Coturnix japonica: one gene and its partners. The main gene of each other region encodes a partner of the protein of the gene in region 2 in a complex. Links are inferred from orthologs where the notes say so. Each region holds a gene or a part of one and is shown on either strand. Other genes may lie near its edges. The genes, in order: SMC4, NCAPH2, NCAPD3, NCAPG2 and SMC2.

The links.
Region 1: the proteins of NCAPH2 (region 2) and SMC4 are in contact, whole or in part, in a cryo-EM structure (PDB 9F5W), measured with the Homo sapiens proteins. The link is inferred for Coturnix japonica from reciprocal best matches to the Homo sapiens genes NCAPH2 and SMC4. Residues at the interface, in NP_689512.2 of Homo sapiens: Arg494, Ile495, Trp498, Glu499, Thr501, Val502, Leu505, Leu506, Gln509, Glu510, His512, Phe547, Cys550, Arg551, Met553, Leu554, Leu557, Gln558, Ala560, Asn561, Tyr563, Val565, Glu566, Ile567, Gln569, Leu573, Glu574, Ala576, Val577, Asp578; in NP_001002800.1 of Homo sapiens: Ile100, Leu101, Gly102, Pro103, Ile112, Gly113, Pro114, Ser117, Gln1151, Met1152, Leu1155, Phe1227, Lys1228, Ser1231, Ile1232, Phe1235, Tyr1236, Glu1239, Gln1240, Asn1253, Asn1254, Phe1256, Glu1257, Arg1261, Gly1264, Ile1265, Tyr1266, Lys1267, Thr1268, Tyr1269.
Region 3: the proteins of NCAPH2 (region 2) and NCAPD3 are in contact, whole or in part, in a cryo-EM structure (PDB 9F5W), measured with the Homo sapiens proteins. The link is inferred for Coturnix japonica from reciprocal best matches to the Homo sapiens genes NCAPH2 and NCAPD3. Residues at the interface, in NP_689512.2 of Homo sapiens: Trp22, Ser68, Lys69, Glu72, Tyr75, Tyr79, Leu82, Asp83, Ser86, Ile144, Ile145, Pro146, Leu147, Leu148, Met150, Ala151, Leu152, Val153, Asp156, Glu159, Asn161, Asn162, Asn163, Pro164, Leu165, Tyr166, Ser167, Arg168, Gly170, Leu173; in NP_056076.1 of Homo sapiens: Arg589, Pro591, Met629, Glu680, Arg683, Tyr684, His690, Lys724, Glu793, Asp800, Gln803, Arg804, Arg807, Gln817, Leu820, Gln865, Leu866, Cys867, Pro868, Ala869, Arg870, Val871, Val918, Ile925, Lys929, Leu932, Gln933, His934, Ala956, Asn960.
Region 4: the proteins of NCAPH2 (region 2) and NCAPG2 are in contact, whole or in part, in a cryo-EM structure (PDB 9F5W), measured with the Homo sapiens proteins. The link is inferred for Coturnix japonica from reciprocal best matches to the Homo sapiens genes NCAPH2 and NCAPG2. Residues at the interface, in NP_689512.2 of Homo sapiens: Pro316, Trp317, Gln318, Ser319, Leu320, Pro322, Phe323, Asp324, Ser325, Leu326, Glu327, Ser328, Lys329, Pro330, Phe331, Lys332, Lys333, Gly334, Arg335, Pro336, Tyr337, Ser338, Val339, Glu344, Gln360, Asp361, Phe362, Gln364, Trp365, Tyr366; in NP_001268861.1 of Homo sapiens: Lys248, Leu251, Gln252, His292, Ile294, His295, Leu296, Pro297, Arg299, Ser300, Val302, Lys340, Ala341, Arg342, Asn343, Ser344, Glu345, Val346, Pro388, Tyr389, Pro390, Arg393, Gly425, Glu426, Ala428, Phe429, Asp430, Thr431, Ser432, Arg437.
Region 5: the proteins of NCAPH2 (region 2) and SMC2 are in contact, whole or in part, in a cryo-EM structure (PDB 9F5W), measured with the Homo sapiens proteins. The link is inferred for Coturnix japonica from reciprocal best matches to the Homo sapiens genes NCAPH2 and SMC2. Residues at the interface, in NP_689512.2 of Homo sapiens: Glu46, Phe53, Ile54, Glu55, Leu58, Leu59, Gly62, Ser63, Ala64, Cys65, Val66, Lys69, Tyr73; in NP_001036015.1 of Homo sapiens: Leu93, Thr125, Gln128, Asp129, Cys132, Gly135, Leu136, Asn137, Met173, Tyr174, Lys177, Lys178.

What each region holds. Positions count from the first base shown.
Region 1 is NC_029524.1:19,680,972-19,684,485, reverse strand, and holds part of SMC4 (structural maintenance of chromosomes protein 4), read left to right. Parts: intron 1-158; coding exon 159-392; intron 393-846; coding exon 847-1,032; intron 1,033-1,925; coding exon 1,926-2,087; intron 2,088-2,414; coding exon 2,415-2,640; intron 2,641-2,740; coding exon 2,741-2,820; intron 2,821-3,038; coding exon 3,039-3,191; intron 3,192-3,335; coding exon 3,336-3,462; intron 3,463-3,514. UniProt on the Homo sapiens protein: Central component of the condensin complex, a complex required for conversion of interphase chromatin into mitotic-like condense chromosomes.
Region 2 is NC_029516.1:705,941-708,514, forward strand, and holds the end of NCAPH2 (condensin-2 complex subunit H2), read left to right. Parts: coding exon 1-11; intron 12-109; coding exon 110-163; intron 164-393; exon of another isoform or gene 394-690; coding exon 691-918; exon of another isoform or gene 919-1,012; coding exon 1,013-1,078; exon of another isoform or gene 1,079-1,154; intron 1,155-1,243; exon of another isoform or gene 1,244-1,252; coding exon 1,253-1,305; exon of another isoform or gene 1,306-1,424; coding exon 1,425-1,526; exon of another isoform or gene 1,527-1,602; coding exon 1,603-1,752; exon of another isoform or gene 1,753-1,841; coding exon 1,842-1,979; 3' UTR 1,980-2,072; downstream 2,073-2,574. UniProt on the Homo sapiens protein: Regulatory subunit of the condensin-2 complex, a complex that seems to provide chromosomes with an additional level of organization and rigidity and in establishing mitotic chromosome architecture.
Region 3 is NC_029539.1:2,131,392-2,134,905, reverse strand, and holds part of NCAPD3 (condensin-2 complex subunit D3), read left to right. Parts: coding exon 1-23; intron 24-190; coding exon 191-274; intron 275-2,348; coding exon 2,349-2,422; intron 2,423-3,332; coding exon 3,333-3,467; intron 3,468-3,514.
Region 4 is NC_029517.1:8,509,401-8,513,710, reverse strand, and holds the start of NCAPG2 (condensin-2 complex subunit G2), read left to right. Parts: upstream 1-1,501; 5' UTR 1,502-1,516; coding exon 1,517-1,663; intron 1,664-2,977; coding exon 2,978-3,073; intron 3,074-4,310. UniProt on the Homo sapiens protein: Regulatory subunit of the condensin-2 complex, a complex which establishes mitotic chromosome architecture and is involved in physical rigidity of the chromatid axis.
Region 5 is NC_029547.1:59,016,067-59,019,580, reverse strand, and holds part of SMC2 (structural maintenance of chromosomes protein 2), read left to right. Parts: intron 1-121; coding exon 122-160; intron 161-301; coding exon 302-412; intron 413-603; coding exon 604-648; intron 649-1,117; coding exon 1,118-1,351; intron 1,352-2,131; coding exon 2,132-2,281; intron 2,282-2,911; coding exon 2,912-3,145; intron 3,146-3,514. UniProt on the Homo sapiens protein: Central component of the condensin complex, a complex required for conversion of interphase chromatin into mitotic-like condense chromosomes.

The DNA of each region.
Region 1 (3,514 bases), on a different chromosome or scaffold from region 2:
CCATAAAGAATATGTTAACCAAATCATGTAGATATATTTGTTCTTCTATTGAACGGCTTTTGTATCTGTTTCCTGCTAGTAAAAGAACCTTTCACACAGCATGACTGATACAGTAAATCCCACAGGTGAGTTTTGATTGGTAACATCCATTTTTGCAGGGCAAAGAGAAAGAGCTGATGGAGTTTTGTAAGACGGTGAATGATGCGCGTTCAAAGATGGATGTAGCGCAGGCAGAACTCGATATCTACCTCACCCGCTATAACTCTGCTGTGTCTCAGCTAAACCAGGCAAAGGAGGCTCTGATGAATACTTCTGAAACTATTAAGCAAAGGAAGGCTGCTATTAAAGATATAGAAGTAAAGTTACCTGCTGCTGAACTGGAATTAAAGGAGGTGAGACCTAGCTTTCACACGTGGCATTTAACAACTACATTCAGATACTTAATTAACCACTGAAGTTAAGTATCTGATTTTAAGCTTATTTTGGTTTAAGAAAATATTAACATGAAGCATGGGAAATTAAATCCCATGCATCTCTACAAGGAAACCGGTTTAAATGTAATAATTAGATGTGGTAGAATAAATGAATAGCTGTTTCTGAGCCATTTGAACTTCACTTCATGCTCCCCCCTTGTAGAAAGGAAAATCCTGATACTTCTGTGTAAGCCTGATTCATACATGCAGAAGCTGTTGTATCTGTTTCCAAGTGTGCAAATAACAGCCATTGTGGTGAATGTTTTGCTACCTCAGTTTTCCTGTGGCTGCATTCACTGCTTACACTACCATGAATCCACGTCCTAGAGTAGAGAAGGTTTCCTGTGGCTGACACTGCTCTTGTACCCATTAGAAAGAGAAAAAGCTTGAGAAGCTTAAAGAAGAGGAACTGAGCACTCAGGATCTTGTTCGAAATCTCCGTCAAAAAGTAGAAGAAGCCAAAAGTTCTTTAGCACAGCACCGCAGTCGAGGAAAAGTGCTCGAGGCTCTGCTTGAGCAGAAGAGGTCGGGGAGTATTCCCGGAATACACGGGAGACTGGTAAGTTGTGAAAGGCTGTTGCAGATTTTGTCTTAAACTTCATGGGGGAGGAGCAGTTTTTCTGTGAATAGGTGAAAGGTAGAATAAGGTAAAGGTCTGAAGACGTTGCTGAAGTAGGGCTCTTTGTTCCTTTTTTCTTTCTGGAACTAAACAATGCATATATTGATATACATATATGTATACATGTATATTCTGCTGTTGTTTCTTTGCCCCTCTTGCTCCCGAAAGTATATATAATATATATAATCTGTTTCAGAACACTCAATGCATGTCTATTAGAAAAACTGAGATATAGGCAAATGTAAAGGATGTAGTTCAAGTGGCAGCACACAGCTGTCTGGCACCGCTTTGTTTTATGCTGTGTTACCACTTTCCAGAGGAAGGACTGAGGTTCAGATGTTCCAATAACCTGATACCATTTCTGAGCCATGTACAGGAATGCTCTGACCTGAGAGGTGCTATCAGCAAACCGATGGTAGAACCACACACGGAATAGACAAAATGATTTTGTAGGCCAGACTGCCTCACCGAAACACTGGCATATAAAATGTACCATTTATCTGCAGAAAGGAAATCCACTGCTACCACAGTGCTTTGTCAGAGTTACTGCTTTTGAAATTCTAAGTGCATAATTCATATTCTATTATGGAACTGAGTACAGGAGAAGGACATAAACAGCAGCGTGCAGGAGAAGTCGGGTGTGACCTTAATTCACAAAATTTAACTAAGGTTTAAGTTATTTGGCAAAAAAAAAAAAAAAAAGTGTTATAATTAGTTTTCATCTCATTGTCTGTAATGTTTTGTTGTGTCTCTCACCACCAAGACAAAATATTGATGCCCAGATAATGAGAGCATTTCTGCCTCCCCCTCTCCATTTCCCCTTCAATTCTTAGGGAGACTTGGGAGCTATCGATGAGAAGTATGACGTTGCTGTCTCATCATCTTGTGCTGCCCTGGACTACATCGTCGTTGATACAATCGATATTGCCCAGGAATGTGTGGAGTTCTTAAAGAAAACAGGAATTGGATCTGCCACGTTTATAGCCCTGGACAAAGTAAGTACTAGTGCTGCGGCAAAACAAATTACATTGTCGAGTTACCCTACGATGATACCTGTATACACACCAATATGTGGTACGTTAATATATTGCACTGTCTAATTATCAACATAGGTAAAGCTAAAATGCAAAATATTTAATTATAATGCAAGTAAGTGGAGATCCCTAAGAAAGGAAGTTTCAGCATTCTGAGAAGTTACATTTCACGAAAGAACATCTACATTTGCTTTAAAGCCTCAGTGTATCTCACATTATGGCATCATTTCATTACTCTGTCCAAAGGAACCTGCATTACTTCATCCGTTATTACCTGTTTTCCTGTAGATGGACGTATGGAAGAAACATCTCGCAAAAATCCCAACTCCTGAAAATGTGCCTCGGCTGATTGACCTGGTGAAAGTAGAAGATAAGACCTTCTCCCCAGCGTTTTACTTTGCGTTACGTGATACCCTGGTGGTTAAGAACTTGGATGATGCTACCAGGGTAGCATTCCAAAGAGATAAAAGGTGGAGGGTTGTAACGTTGAAAGGAGAAGTCATTGAGCAGTCAGGTATTGAAGCGTAAACTTCTGATGATGTGTTCAGCACTTCATAGGTGCTATCTAAGCAAAACAAAGCATGCTGACTTCTCTTCCTGTTTCATTGCTTTAGGAACAATGACTGGTGGTGGGACTAAAGTAATGAAGGGCAGAATGGGCTCCTCGGTTGCAATTGATGTTTCACCAGAAGAGGTTAGTGCATATTCCTAATTAAAAATGAAATTTCTTTAAAGTTTGTTATGTTTTGACAATTCATACACTGCTGATGTTCTCAGCAACCTCCATGTTCTGCCCAGCTAAAGAAAAGTCTCAAGTTGTTAAGAGCTCATAGACCATCCAGCATGTGAACGAGTGCTTGCTGTGTTTTGTAGTGGTGACACTGAGAGCGATCATGTTTCGTTTTTGTGTAGATCGACAAACTGGAATCTGAACTGCAGAGGGATTCCAAAAGAGCAGTACAGTGTGGAGAAGAAAAGTTACAGCTGGAAGAAGACATAACAAAGCTACAGAAAGATGTCTGGGAAATGAGAAGTACTTTAGAAAAGTACACAGCGACTATCCAGGTGAACAAGTCTCATTGAGGCAACGTCCAGTTTGTATATGTGTGTGCAGGAGAACAGCTCCTCAGCCTCAAGTCCATGTCAGCTTTGTCAGTACCACAGACCTTTCTTATGTATGGGATTCTAACACAGTTCTGTTTTCTGTAGAGTTTTTCTGAACAAGAAATTCGTCAAAAAGGCCAAGTTAAAGAACTTGAAGCAAATGTAACAGCTGCTGCTCCAGACAAAAACAAACAGAAGGAAATGGAGGAAGTCCTCAGTAGTTATAAAAAAGGTACTTATTGTGGAGAGGGATTATAGATAGAAACTGTATTCATGTTCACTTA
Region 2 (2,574 bases):
TTCTGCAACCTGTGAGTGTTACAGTCTGACCTTACCTGGCTGCTGCTCCCTGCTCTCCTCAATGGGCTGCACCTGTAGGGGTTTCTAAATGCAATCCTGTTCTTCTCAGACAACAACGGTGCTGACTGCAGGAAAACCAGGAGGAAAGGGCCGACGTTTGCTGGTGAGAAGGGCAGGGTGGGCTGAGTTGGGGTTCAGGCTGCAGCCATATGCAGGGCTCCAGGTGCAGCAGTTGTGCTGTGAAGCCCTTGTTGGGGTTGGGTTTGCATTGGGAAGAGGCCAATAATCCTTATCTGGGGTGACAGATTATTGGGGTGACAGTGGTTGCTCTAATAGAGCAGTGTGAGGGCTGAAGCAAAGGACGTGGGAGGAATAAGCAGTTTTACAACTTAAAATGGATGAGGATTGGTCGTGTTTAATGTTCACAACACTGAAACCTGTGACTTCCAGTCCTGCAGCCGTTCCTCATTCAAAAAGCAGCCTTTAAACATTGTTATGCAGAGCGTTGCCCCCTTCTTGCTGTGCAAAACCTCTTCTGCATTCAGGGGAGCTCCCAGCTTGTTGGTGCAGAGAGAAGGATGGGTGCTAAGGCAGCCCCAAAACCACACTGTGGAACCCAGGAAGCCTCGTTCTGTATCAGGGGATGCAGGTTGGCAGTGCTGACCTGTGCTTTGCGTTGTGTCTGTGCAGATCTGGAGGCGCTGTACTGGAAGCAGCAGCAGGAGCGGCTGGTGGCACAGAGGAAGCTGCAGAGCAGGATGGTGAGCACGCAGATGGGGTTGGAGGGTGGTGGGAGCCGCGCTGGCTGGGGACTCAATGCTTTTCCCCAGGGGCCACCCTTGTTACTACGGCCAGAGCATGAAGAGGAGGAAGAGCTGAATGCACCGGAGCGGGATGATGGGGATGGAGAAGCAGCAGGTATTGCTGAAGTCTCTGATCTCTCTGAAGTCTCTGAGGGCTGAGCTGCTGCAGGAGCTATGGGGGTCCTTAGCACAGCCTGCCCTTCCTGCAGATGACTTTGTGGAGCATGAAGACATCCAAGAGGAGGATGTGGAGAATCTAGTGGAGAAAGCCATGGGTGAGCCCTGGGGGAGCTGTGAGGGCACCCCATCCTTCAACCACTGCAGTGCATCCTGAGCAGCTGTGTGTCCCACCTATGGGGAACAGATGTGCCTGTCCTCACCTGGAGGCACAGGGCCAGGCATGCAGTTCCCCCCCATCCCATCACACTGATAACACTGACCTCTCACAGCTCCCTGTGACGTGGATGCGCTGAGCTATGAGGAGCTGGTGAGGAAGAACGTGGTATGTGTTGTGCCCGAGCTCAGGGCAGGGACAGCGAGGGCACAGCGGGTGCTGTAGGTGTCCCTCATCCCCACACTGTCCTTGTTCCCATCTTGTTCCACATCCCTTGGTCCTTGCAGGAGCTGTTCATCGCCAACTCCCAGCGGTACGTACAGGAGACGGAGCTCTCCCAACACATCCGCCTTTGGGAGGAGAAGATGGGGCCGGCGCTGCAGGAGCAGGTAAAGCTGCAGGGGGAACAACAGTGGGGCTGGATGGGGGAGGCAGAGGGTCAGCACTGACCCCGCTGTCATGCAGGAGGAGCGTACGGCCTTCGACATCCACAGCTACGGGGACAGGCTGGCAGCTCGATTCGGCAGCCTGGGGCAGTGGCAGTCCTTTGCCAGCCTGGTGGCCGGGCTGCCCCCCTTCGAGGTGTGCCGCTACATGCTGGCCTCATTGCAGCTGGTGAGTGTGGGGCCCTGGGGGTGAGGGGGGGGGAAGATGGTTGGATATGGGGGGTAGGGCTTTGCTGCAGCCCCTGCTCCTCTCCCCAGGCCAACGACTACACGGTGGAGGTGGCGCAGGCCCCGGGGCTGGAGGAGGCCGTGGACACGGTACGGCTGCGGCTGCTCACAAGAGAGCGGGCACACGAGCGCTTCCGCACCTACATGGCCCCCTCAGCCTGCGAATGAGCCCCTCACCCCATATAAACCCCCCCCTATTCCACTCTGTACAGCCCCCACCACCCCACAGCTCTCAGCAATAAACCTCCCGACTTTAGTAAAGGCGGCCTCGTTTTTGGTGACGTGAACAAAGCATCCCTATGGGCTGGAGTGGGTTATAGGGAAGCTTCTTGCTGCTATGGGGACTGCCCCCCATGCAGGCAGAGCCTTTTGGGGCTGCAGCTTCCCTGTGGGGGCTGCCCCCTGTCCAGGCAGAGCCCTGAGGGGCTGCAGCTTTCCTTTGGGGCTGTAGCTTCCCTTTGGGGGCTGCTCCCCATCCTGAGACCTTTGGGGCTGCCCCACGTCCAGACAGAGTCCTGTGGGGCTGCAGTTTCCCTTTGGGGGCTGCCCCATGTCCAGGCAGAGCTCTTTGGGGCTGCAGTTTCCTTATGGGGGGGGCTGCCCCCCATTCTAAGCCCTATGGGGTTGTAGCTTCCCTTTGGGGCTGCCTCACGTCCAGACAGAGTCCTGTGGGGCTGTAGCTTCCCTCTGGGGCTGCAATTTCCTTTTGGGGGCTGCCCGAGAGTCCTGTGGGGCTGCAGTTTCCCTTTGGGGGCTGCCCCCC
Region 3 (3,514 bases), on a different chromosome or scaffold from region 2:
CAGTTTGATGCTCAGTGAAGAAGGTGCGGAGTCATTCTCTTATGATAAGTCTCAGGCTTTTCTTGGCGTGCTGCTTTCTAAAAATATGTGTATCCATAAAACGTGGGACATGTGTGCAGCTCTCTATTTAATGGTGAATCACGTGGAGTGAATGTATGCTCAGTTCTTAAGCTTTTAACTTTTCTTCCAGCTACGTCCAACCATCCGCTGAAGACCTTACCAAGCTTCAAAACGATTGAGCTGACAAACAGCAGCAGTGCTGCCATGGTGAATGGTATGTCACAGTTACAGCAGCCTTTCAGATAGCTCTTCAGAACTTCGATTACAATTATGTTTTCTGAATCTTGTTCGCTGACCATTTCTCAAAGAGCAGAGAGATCTTTCTGGAGAGCTGTTAAAAAACACAGGTGGTGAAGGGGTGGAAGTGCTTGCTGTATGGAAATGCCATTTCCACTTAAATTTGGGAAATACATTTAATTGTGAAATGCTGGTGTTCATTTGTATTAATGTGGTAGCAATACTCATTGCAAAGCAGATAATTTATACTTTCCCAAAAGGATGCTAATTGATGTGGGATGCAGTACTTGTAGCTCCATAGATTTAAGGGTAATTAAACCTCTTGCTTCAGTGCACAAAGAATGGATGTATTTTTGCTGCATAAAACACAGCACCTTTGACTGGCACTGTTATGCAGGGAAGCATTTAATTCTCAGCAGCACCAGGTATTGGCTGATGTTAAAAGCAAAGTGGGAGGTTAAATGGACTGATTTGCAACGTCAGTGTGCTAGATCTGATTCCTTAATGGCATGAAATCAGCACAAAAGTTGGCTTTCGTGGCTGTGATATTTCATTGAATCTCTTCCTCTTCAATGTGGAGTCCTCACATTTAGGCCTCTGTCTGTGTCTTCGCTCTCAGTTGTTGCTATTCACCTCTCTTGAACTGCTGACAATTCAATTTACTGCTTAGCTCGCATCCTGCCTCTGTGTCTTTGTTACACTTCTCATGCTGCTCTTCATGTGGGATCCCTCCATATCTTCATGAACCAGGCTCCTATCTTCTCTATTGAAAGCTTTCTTTCAAAACATTTTGCTGATAAATTTCATTAATCTGCTCTCTAAGATAGAATATCCTCAGGCCACTGAAGGTATTGTGTATTCCCTGTTCAGTTGCAGGCTCTGTGTGGCAGAGGATGCCTGGTTTTGTTATCTGATACACCAGCTGAGCCGCTTGGCACTTGGCAAAACAAATTAAGCAAAGGATTGGATCAAAAAGGGCTGTCTGAGGCTCAAGAGGATAGCTAAAAAACAGGCTTCTCAGAGCCAGTCAAGGTGCATTAGCAAAGCTGTCTGGCACACACTTGTTTGGCTTCTGCCTGTGCTAATTTTGCACTTCTATGAAGACCAAACAGCTTGTCTTTTAGAAGCAAAATAAATCTTTGCTGAGGATATTCAGAACTTGCAAAATGCACAAGGGCAAAGATAAGACTGGTAGGGATAATCTGCAGGGTGAAGTATACTCTATAGAGTATGCAGTGCCTGTCAGCCTATAAACACTCTATTCCCTTGCTAGTTTCTCTTGCTAGTTCTCAGCCATTTAGATCTCAGGGCTTGTTTGTTTTTTTCCCTATGCCACTATGCATAGAAATCCATGACAGTTGGCCAAGGTTGATCACTTTAGCAGATTTGGTTACCTTTGCAATAGCAGCATGACTGTTCTCTTGGCAGTGTCTTGCAAAGAAAAGGTTGTGTGCTTTTTCTGTCAAGCTATTCTCAGGAGAAAGACTCAGTTGCAGTTACCTGCCTACTAAGAAAGCACTAGTCATGCAGATTGAAATCCCTTAGCTTCATTTGATTAAAAAAAGCCTACTTTTAGACCCTATATTTATTGGTTCCCAATGACTAATTGTTTCTCTTAATGGAAACATGGTAGATCTCCAGATGAATCTCTCAAAGTAACAGGTTTCTGTATTTGCAAGTTCAAAATGTCCTTAGGAAAACTTAATTTCCAGCTTTGAAGGCAGCCTGATACCTTTTATATACAGAAATAAAAGAACTGGGAGTTACAGATTATTCCTTTTTGCTCTGTGTATGAAATGATTTGGTATATCACCAGATTTTGTGTTATGTCCTATGATTTATTTTCAAGATAGAAGAACTTTGGGTTTTTCTTCCCCTTGTCAGAATGGCAGCTGCAAAGGAGAACCCACATTCTTTCAGTTAGTTGTTGTTGTGCTTTCAGCCCTCATCTCTTGCTCCTGAAAACCTTGGGCAACAAACTGAGCTCTGCAAAGCATACAGAGGAGGTCTGGGTGGGTGTTATAACTTCTTTTTATCCTGGGTTTGGATAGGAAAAGAAATCATGGCCCTGCTGAGGCTGAGAGCTGGAGATGAGAAAACCACTGTGAGGAAATCTGCTCTCCAGGTATGGTGTTCTTTGCATGATTTCTTGTTCTGCATGATTACACAGAATGCCATTGGAACAAATAATTGAGCTGTAGTACTGCAGTGAACTGTATGTAAGTTTGCCCAGCTGTAGCTTCTTGCTATTCCCACCGAGTGCATTCAGTCCTTAAAAAGGTCATTTTTGCTAGTTCTTGATAAGTAAATAATGCAAGGAAGAAATAACATTCTAGTACTCTTTTGCTGGCATTCACTTATTCCATCATTTAGAGAAAGAGCCTCTTTCCAAATGTCAATAGGTATTTAACTTAAGCGACTTCCTTACAAACTGGGGCATAAGAGGTGCTTTGTTTCTACCTTGTTAGCAAGAGTTTGGGCTATATCTGGCATCATTTTGAGGGATGCACTGCTTTTCTGCTTGCTTCATTTTAATTAATTAAGTCATGAACTTTGAAAGGTATCTTCTTCAATGTGAATTTCACTGTTTTATAGGATACGGATCTGTTGTTGACTGCCTTTCTCCCTGTTAGTCCTCTTTCCCTTAGTTCTTCCCCTCCAGGATAAATCAGGATGAGAACACCTCAGGTTAAGGGTTTCTGACTGTTTTGTTGTGAGGTTTTCAATTCTTTTCCCTCTTATTGGCAGGTGAAAGATGTAGGTCATAACAAGAGAAACATTGGCTTCAAGGGGGAGTTGTGGCATTGACTCAATGCAGAATTCTCTTATAAAATCTGAAGGACTGAGAAGTTCTCTTAGCATTCTGTATCAAGTTCTGCCCGGTACTTAGAAATTACTAATGTTATGTTTCCCTTTCATTGCGATACATTCTATTCCCTGTTGACTTAAATTAGGGATTGATCTATTTCTGATTAATTTCCCCATGCATCCTGGCTCGTATTCCCGATGAACTCATGCTGTTTTTTGACCTGCAGGTTTTTACAAACATCCTGAAGCACAAAGCAATCCCTTGCACTGCAGAAGATTTGTCCACTCTTCAGGACCGTTGCCGGGACCCCGCAGTCTCTGTGCGGAAACAGGCCTTGCAGTCTGTGACAGAACTCCTCGAGGTGAGGAAATGAACAACACCAATTCTTATGGCTGAAATGTTGGTTTA
Region 4 (4,310 bases), on a different chromosome or scaffold from region 2:
CAGCTCGCAGCTCAAGCACCATCCTTGAATAAAACCAACACAACCCTATTCTGCCTCTGTGCTTTTAGATGTGGCTCTTTAGAATGGATCAGTGTTACCAGCCCGTCGTTACCTGTGTCAACTTTTAGCTTCAAGACCGTGAAAAAATCATTTTGTGGTTGCTATGCGACACGAATTGTAAGCTAGAATATGTTGTAGTTCATTTGCTAAATGGAGAGGTGCCTGACTAAATAAACTGTAACCAGGTGACTAATGCGGCATTTAATTAAAGCCTAATCAAGGTATTAATGAAATATTCAGTCCACACAAGAGACGTGATAAACAAATCAATCAGTTTGTATCAAAAATGTCAAAGATTCTTAATGCATGCAAAAAATCAGACGTTAGCACTACGCAGAAATGTCAGTTTTCATACTTTTTTTTTATGTACTTTTGCTCCTCAGCAAGTATAATTGCTCACGCAACTTATTTCAAGCAAACTGCTTCACTGGCTTCTTGCACTAAGTGCAAGAAGAAGCTTAACAAAGGCAGGATCTGAAACATGCTTTAATGCCTGACCCTTTTCTTCAGGGTAGCAAAATATTCCCTTCTTGTGGTATTTGGTTTCTGGAAGCCAACATCTGGCTGTCCCCACCTGGTGGGGTTTAGAGGTCAGAGATCTGCCTCTGCAGGGACCTTTCTCTGGATGTGGGCTGGTTGATGTTGGTATTCACTGAGTGGCCTTTTCCACACTTGAAAGATGATGAGTCTTTGCCTACATGCAAAGCGCTGTGAGGAGGGATGTACTTCTTTGGGTTCAGGCAGAGCTGAGGAGTGCTGGGCAAGATGAGCTTTTTGTCTGCTAACACCTTCTGTCATACTGTCCCTTCCTTGAGTAAATCTGATTCCATCATCATATCCATATCATAATTAATGTCACCTATTCCCCTGTGGGTGTTTAATCTCTTACTTATTTTAAATCCAAGTTACTTCAGAAGTTGTACGTGCACTTGGCTGTTGACTCAGGAAATGAAACCATATTTTACCTGTTTTCAGTAATGTCAGTCATCTGTTACATCTCAAACCTATATGGAATAGCATTAATTGTATGGAATAAGCATATAGTAAGCCAATTCTTTAGTTTTTAGTCTTCAGACTGTAAAAATACAGAAATAATTTACTCAGAAGCTTAAAAAAAGTAATGGCATAAGTCAGTAAGTCGCCTGTATGACATGAAACGTTACAATCTGTGAGTGGAACGGAGAACACGACTAGATTTGAAGGCTGCTTATGCTTACTTTGATTCCAACCACGCAAAGTGTAGGAATACGAATAAAACTCTGAGTTATCAAAACACCACCTTATCGAGATGCAAATATCACCTGGCCACAGCCACGAAGGCTCCATTCAGACACATGCCAAAAGGTAAAAACGCCGTTTATTTACCTATATTTATCCTCTCATTATTCATATACCGCACTGCCTCTGAGGGAGCGCATCGCTCCCGCCCACAGCGGACACTCCCAACTCTCGCGCGATGAGAACTCGGCTGCACTGGCGCCCAACGGCCGCCGCGGGACGATTCGAACGTGGCGGCGGGGCCTCAGAGAGAGGGCGGGCGGGTGCCGCTGCCTTTCTTTATTCCTCCTTTACAGACAGGCAGGCGTGTTTGGGAACGCCACAGGTAGGTAAGAGGCCTGTGTGCCTCCTCCTCATGTCACCTCCTTCTGGGCAGTGTGTTTGGGACGGCTTTCTGCAGAGTCAGAGCTGTGGAACAACAGGAACTCAGGATTCCCGCCCAGATGAACGGGGGATCGCGGATGGGTGATGGGCTGTAGTACAAAATGAAGCGCTTAGAGCCAGAAAGTGGCTTGATTCCACCTTATCCTCGTTTGACAGGAGGAAAAGGGGTCGATATTTTGCCTTCCAGATGCTTTTTCGTGTGAGGAAATGCGTCTGTTTGGAATGGTGGCTGGGTAAATAGGGTGTTCGTGCTGGTGATGCTATTTCTGTTTAAGGTGAAGTGGTCAGCTACGATGTTCCAAGCTTTCTTTTCAGGCCTTGTTTAATTAAAAATAAAAAGGAGAGAGCAGTGTGGCTTAGTGCCACTGCCAAGCTGTGAGTTAGCCAGTGTTGAGTTAGTTAACTAATGTACCCGGGTGGGCATCTTTTATTTGAAGAGGAGGCTGAGGGGGAACCTTATTGCTCTCTACAGCTGCCTGAAAGGAGGTTGTGGTGAGCTGGAGTCAGCATCTGCTCTCAGGTAACAGCAATAGGTTGAGAGGTGATGGCCTTCAGTTGTGCCAGGGGAGGGTCATGTTGGATGTCTAGAAAGACTTCTCTAAAAGAGCAGTTGGACACTGGTGCAGGCTGCCCAGGGAGCAGCCTTTCAATACCTGAAGGGAACTTACTCCCAGGAGGGGAGTAAACTCTTGGAAAGGGCTGACAATAGCAGGACACGGGGAAATGATTTTAAGTTAAAAGAGGGAAGATTTAGGTTGGATGTTAGGGGGAAGTTCTTCACTAGGAGAGTGGTTAGGCCCTGGAACAGGCTGCCCAGGGAGGTTGTGGATGCCCCGTCCTTGGAGGTGTTCAAGACCAGGTTGGACGGGGCCCTGGGCAACCTGATCTAGTAAATGTGTATGTTTGGTGGCCCTGCCAGGCAGGGGGGTTGGAACTACATGATCCTTGAGGTCCCTTCCAACCCGGGTCATTCTGTGATTCTGTGGTGGAGTCATCATCCCTGGAGGTATAAGAGAAGAGGGTGGATGTGGCACTGAGGGATGTGGTCAGTGGGCGTGGTGGGGGTGGGTTGGTGACTGGACTGGATGTGGTCTTAACAGCCTTAATCATATAATTCCATTATAACCGTGTAGGTAAAGAATGTATTTTCGTATGTTATTCACTGTAACCATGAAGTGGTAACACTTTGAGATACGGTACTTTTCTCCAACATGCAAGTAAAACATACTTTTATTGCTTATTTTTTGTTTATGAGGCAAGGGGAAACAAGAGCACAATGAAACGTGAAGCATTTTTACAAGCTGTGTCTAAGAACTCAGTGGAGGATTTCTTGCGTTTCACTCAAAGTTCTGTAAGTAAACCATGATGTGTGTGTATGACTATTAAAGTCTAAAGCCTGCTATTGGTGCGTGGGATATCTGGCATAGAAGTTGCTTCTCTGACACCTGCAAGTGGATTGTAGTTGATCAAGGTAATTGCATGTGCCAGTAACACCTTGCACATTGCAAGGATAATTGCATGCACCAGTACAGGCTGGGGGAAGACCTGCTGGAGAGGAGCTCTGCAGAGAATGACCTGGGCGTCCTGGTGGATGACAGATTGACTATGAGCCAGCAGTGTGCCCTTGTAGCCAAAAAAGCGAGTGGCATACTGGGGTGTATTAAAAAGAGCATGTCCAGCAGGTTGAAGGAGGTGATCCTCCCCCTCTACTCTGCCCTGGTGAGGCCTCATCTTGAGTACTGTATCCAGTTCTGGGCTGCCAGTACAAAACAGACAGGGATCGTCTGGAAAGAGTCCAGCTGAGGGCCACAAACATGATAAAGGGCCTGGAACATCTCTCCTATGAGGACAGACTAAGTGATCTGGGTCTGTTTAGCCTTGCGAAAAGAAGGCTGAGAGGGGACTTGATCCAGGTTTATAAATACCTGAGGTGTGGGAGCCGTGGTGGCGAGGCTGGTCTCTTTTCATTAATGCGTGGGGATAGGACTAGGGGTAATGGGATGAAAGTGCAGCATAGGAAGTTCCGCACAAATGTGCGGAAGAACTTCTTTACAGTGAGGGTGACGGAGCACTGGAACAGGCTGCCCAGGGAGGTGGTGGAGTCTCCTTCCCTGGAGATATTCAAGACCCGCCTGGACACCGAGCTGTGCGATGTGGTGTAGGGAGCCTGCTTTGGCAGGGGGGTTGGACTCGATGATCTCTAGAGGTCCCTTCCAACCCCTACAATTCTGTGATTCTGTGAAGGTGTGGGATCTGAGATGACACAGTGCTATAGACATGCTGATTTTCTTAACACTTGGTTGTTGCATACACCGTTTGCCTTTTTGACATTGTGGTCTTTGCTGCTAAACTTCAATCAAGCAGTACTTCTATTCTTCCCCTTCTCCTGCTTTAGTTTCCTGTTTCCCTTCTCTCCTTGCTTTGTTTCATTCAGTTCTAAAACTCTGGGGTTTCACTGCTCTCTCTCTGTGATTTGCCTTGGGCTTTTCACTTTTCTTTGTTTTTAAAAGATTACATTTCTATATTGTTGTGTTAAGTATCACTGTCATTATCAGGCACTGTTACATTTTTCCACTAAATCCTGTTCT
Region 5 (3,514 bases), on a different chromosome or scaffold from region 2:
CAATAATAATAAAGAAAGGTTAGCAATTGGTGTTTAAAATGAGTATGGGGGTTTTAATTTATTTTTTACTACTATAGCATGGTACACAATTGTAATTTTCCTTTTGTCTTTCTTTAACCAGGGGCGAATTACTAAAGTTCTAAATATGAAGCCAACGGAGGTGAGAGAACTATGACTTATTTATTTTTTTCTTTCTGGATAAGAAAGTGTTATAGAGGGATAACATGTTAAGCTTGCTTTAGGTTGAACCAACTTGACATGATAAAAATCATTAAAACTCTGTCAAATTATTTTATTCTAGATTCTATCTATGATTGAAGAAGCAGCGGGTACCAGGATGTATGAATGCAAGAAAATGACTGCCCAGAAGACCATAGAGAAGAAGGAAGCCAAACTGGATGAAATTCGAAGGGTTGGTACTATATGTGGGAGTGTGTGCTTTATTTGCTAAAGATAATGGATTACTAGCACAGGGTGGGTTTTTTTTTGTTTTTGTTTTTACTTGTAAACTATTTCCTTTCTTTATATGTTTCTCTATGTGCAGATATTAATGCTACATGTGTTTTAAAAATCTGAATACCAATGTTCTGGTTTGTGTTTCAGATCATAACTGAAGAGATCAGCCCAAGTCTAGAGAAACTGAAAGAGGTATGGAATATTTGGAGAAGTGGTAAGAGGCTTTAAAGTACTGAAGAAATACTTTCAAATAACTTGAACTGGTATGTGGAAGATAGGACGTGATATTTTTTCAGCCTTTTTAGAATCTTTTAGGTGATGTAAAATTTATCACCTATCCAAATATAGACAGTGTGGTTTGCAGGAATTACAAGATATATGGGAGAGGGACATAGGGAACAATAAGCAAATGAGAGAAACAGAAAACATAGAAGTTAAATTCTTGTCTTAGTTGTTAAACTTGCCTCAGGTGGAGTTTCTGTTATACAATCAACTGCACTAGTACAGCTTCATCTAGAATTTTCTTAAGTAGGTTTGCAGTGTACAATACTGAACGTTATATATTATATTCATATTACATATAATATTCTATAACAGTACTACCCTAATTTTCTTTCACCCAATTTTAACCCTTATTTTCTTTCAACCTATATCTTTTCAGGCACGTGCATCGTATCTAGAGTACCAAAAAATAACACGAGAAATGGAGAATTTAAAACGCGTCTGTGTGGCTTTTCAATATATCCATGCTGAAGAGATAAAAGATCAGACTACTAACGCTTTAAAGGAAGCAAATGAAAATAAGAAGAAAAATTTGGAATTAATGGCTGTGAATGAGGAGAAGGTAAAGGAACTTGCACAACAAATAGAAGATATGGAAAAGAAAAACAATAAGGTAAGTGAGAACCCAGATACGCTCACCTGAAAGTCTTAATAGAAGGAAGTATGTGAGAAGAAAATTATTTTTGTAGATGGTATGCACTTAGATTTTACTCCTTCTATGGTGAATTGTTTAGATTATACACCGCTTACTCAATAGTAGTCATTCCCTAAACGGGGGTGTCTATAAAGTTTTAATGTCTGAAATACTGTATTTCCAACTGCTGTAAATCACAGAATATCCCAAGCCAAGAGAAACCTTCAAGGATCAGTTTCCTATTCAGTAAATTCCCAAATAATATCAACAATTTTGCCAGGCATTGGAGTGAGACTGAGTGATTTAAGATGATAACACTTTTCCCTCATATTTCTACTCTGTGTATTCAGTGGAAAACTTTATCTGATTTTTTTTTTTAATTTTTTTTTTTTTTTTTTTTTTTTTGTCCATTTCAGATGAAATGCACTTGCAGTGGGAAATACAAAAATCACTAGTGACCTCAGATACAGAGGTAGAAAAAGTAGTTATGTACTGAGTATCCCACAGCATCTTTTCATTCTTAAGTGCAACTCCTACACTTCCCCTGCAAGGACAGAGTTTCTCAGTAACTACAGTTGGGCTCTAGCAGTGGCTTCAAATTAGTACGGACTTCTGTGGGAAGAGGTTTTAGCCCATTTGTTTTGGAGTCTCTATCTGCTTCATCAGACATGCATCTCCTATGTATAGCTATGATCAGAAAATGAAATCTTAAATATTGGATAACAGTATACATAAAATTTCCATTGTTTCTGAATTTAGGAATTTGGTGCTAAGTTACAGTCGCTGGAAGCTGCTCTTTCAGAACTCCAAAGAGTTGATGCTAAAGTCCGCAGTGATCTTGATCACAAGAAGAAAAACTTAAGTGGTGAAAAGAAAAGGCATAAAGAATTGACTAAAGTCATGCAGGAGGTAAGCCCTTTGTTTATGTTATTCTTTTTAAGCACTGATGTAGTTCGGTGTGCATTGGGACAGCAGGTTTTTATTATCTTTTCAAGGTTGATGGGAAGGAATAGCAACAGGAGGGCAGAAACAAATAATAAGTGGTGTTACTTGATTTGTATGGCACAGTTAGTAGACTGCCACTAAAAACAAATAAGATGTATTTATGAAGGAAGTCCAGCTCTGCTGTTGACAACTTTGTTTTAATTTTGGGAGGAGATCCCAACTGCGTTCAGGAAACCTGCTAAACTTAAAGGAAAAACATCTACTTCATGCTCTTGACATTTAATTCATTTCTCTTAAATAGGAACACTAAATACTTTACAGAGAGCTGCTTTTCCTGGTTGTGCAGTTATCATTTTTTCCTCTATTTCATTTTTCTCTGTACATGTTGTGTTGAGTGTCCTCAATGAGCAGGTGCACGCTTGAAGTATGTAAAAACAGGCTGTGAAAACAAAAAAGCTGACAAAAGGTTTTAAAATCTTGATCAGTGAAACTAATCATAGCTGTACATCATCTGATTTACCAACATAAACTTTAAGTTAATAGGGGTTGTTTTTTTGTTTGATTTTATGTATCATTATTGTTTTTTTGCTAAAGGAATTTAAAGCGATAACATCAAAGGAAAAGGAAATAAAGAGTATACAGGAAGATCTAAATGGTTTACAGGAGGAAAGTAAAAAAGGTGCAGAAGCTTTAGCCACAGCACAACAGCATTTTAATGGTGTATCTGCTGGCCTGTCTAGCAATGTCAGTGGTCGAGGAAGTTCTCTTGCTGACCAGATGATGACCTGCAAAAATGAAATTAGCAAAGCAGTAACAGAGGCTAAACAGGTAAGAGTCAGAGCTCTCTTGATGCACTGTTGGGAAAATTATAGAATATATATGCAAAGTATTTTGGCATAGGCCAAAAAATGTAAGGTTTTTTTAATTAAGCAGGCTGTTTAAAACAGGGAAGTCCTTGAGCCAACATAAGGAAAAGTTACAACATTGCCTTGAAGAAATACAGCAATTGGTATACAGATGACTGACAGTGTAAAATAGGAAGCTTAGAATAGGAAATTAAAGTATGTCTGTATTTAACTAGCAGGATCAAGTGTGTCTGAATAGGGAGTTTGGGAGGAATTACTCTATTACATTTTATGCTAGTCACATTACTTGAAACATGTCGCATCCTTCTTAAGATAGGAAACTTGCTGTGGT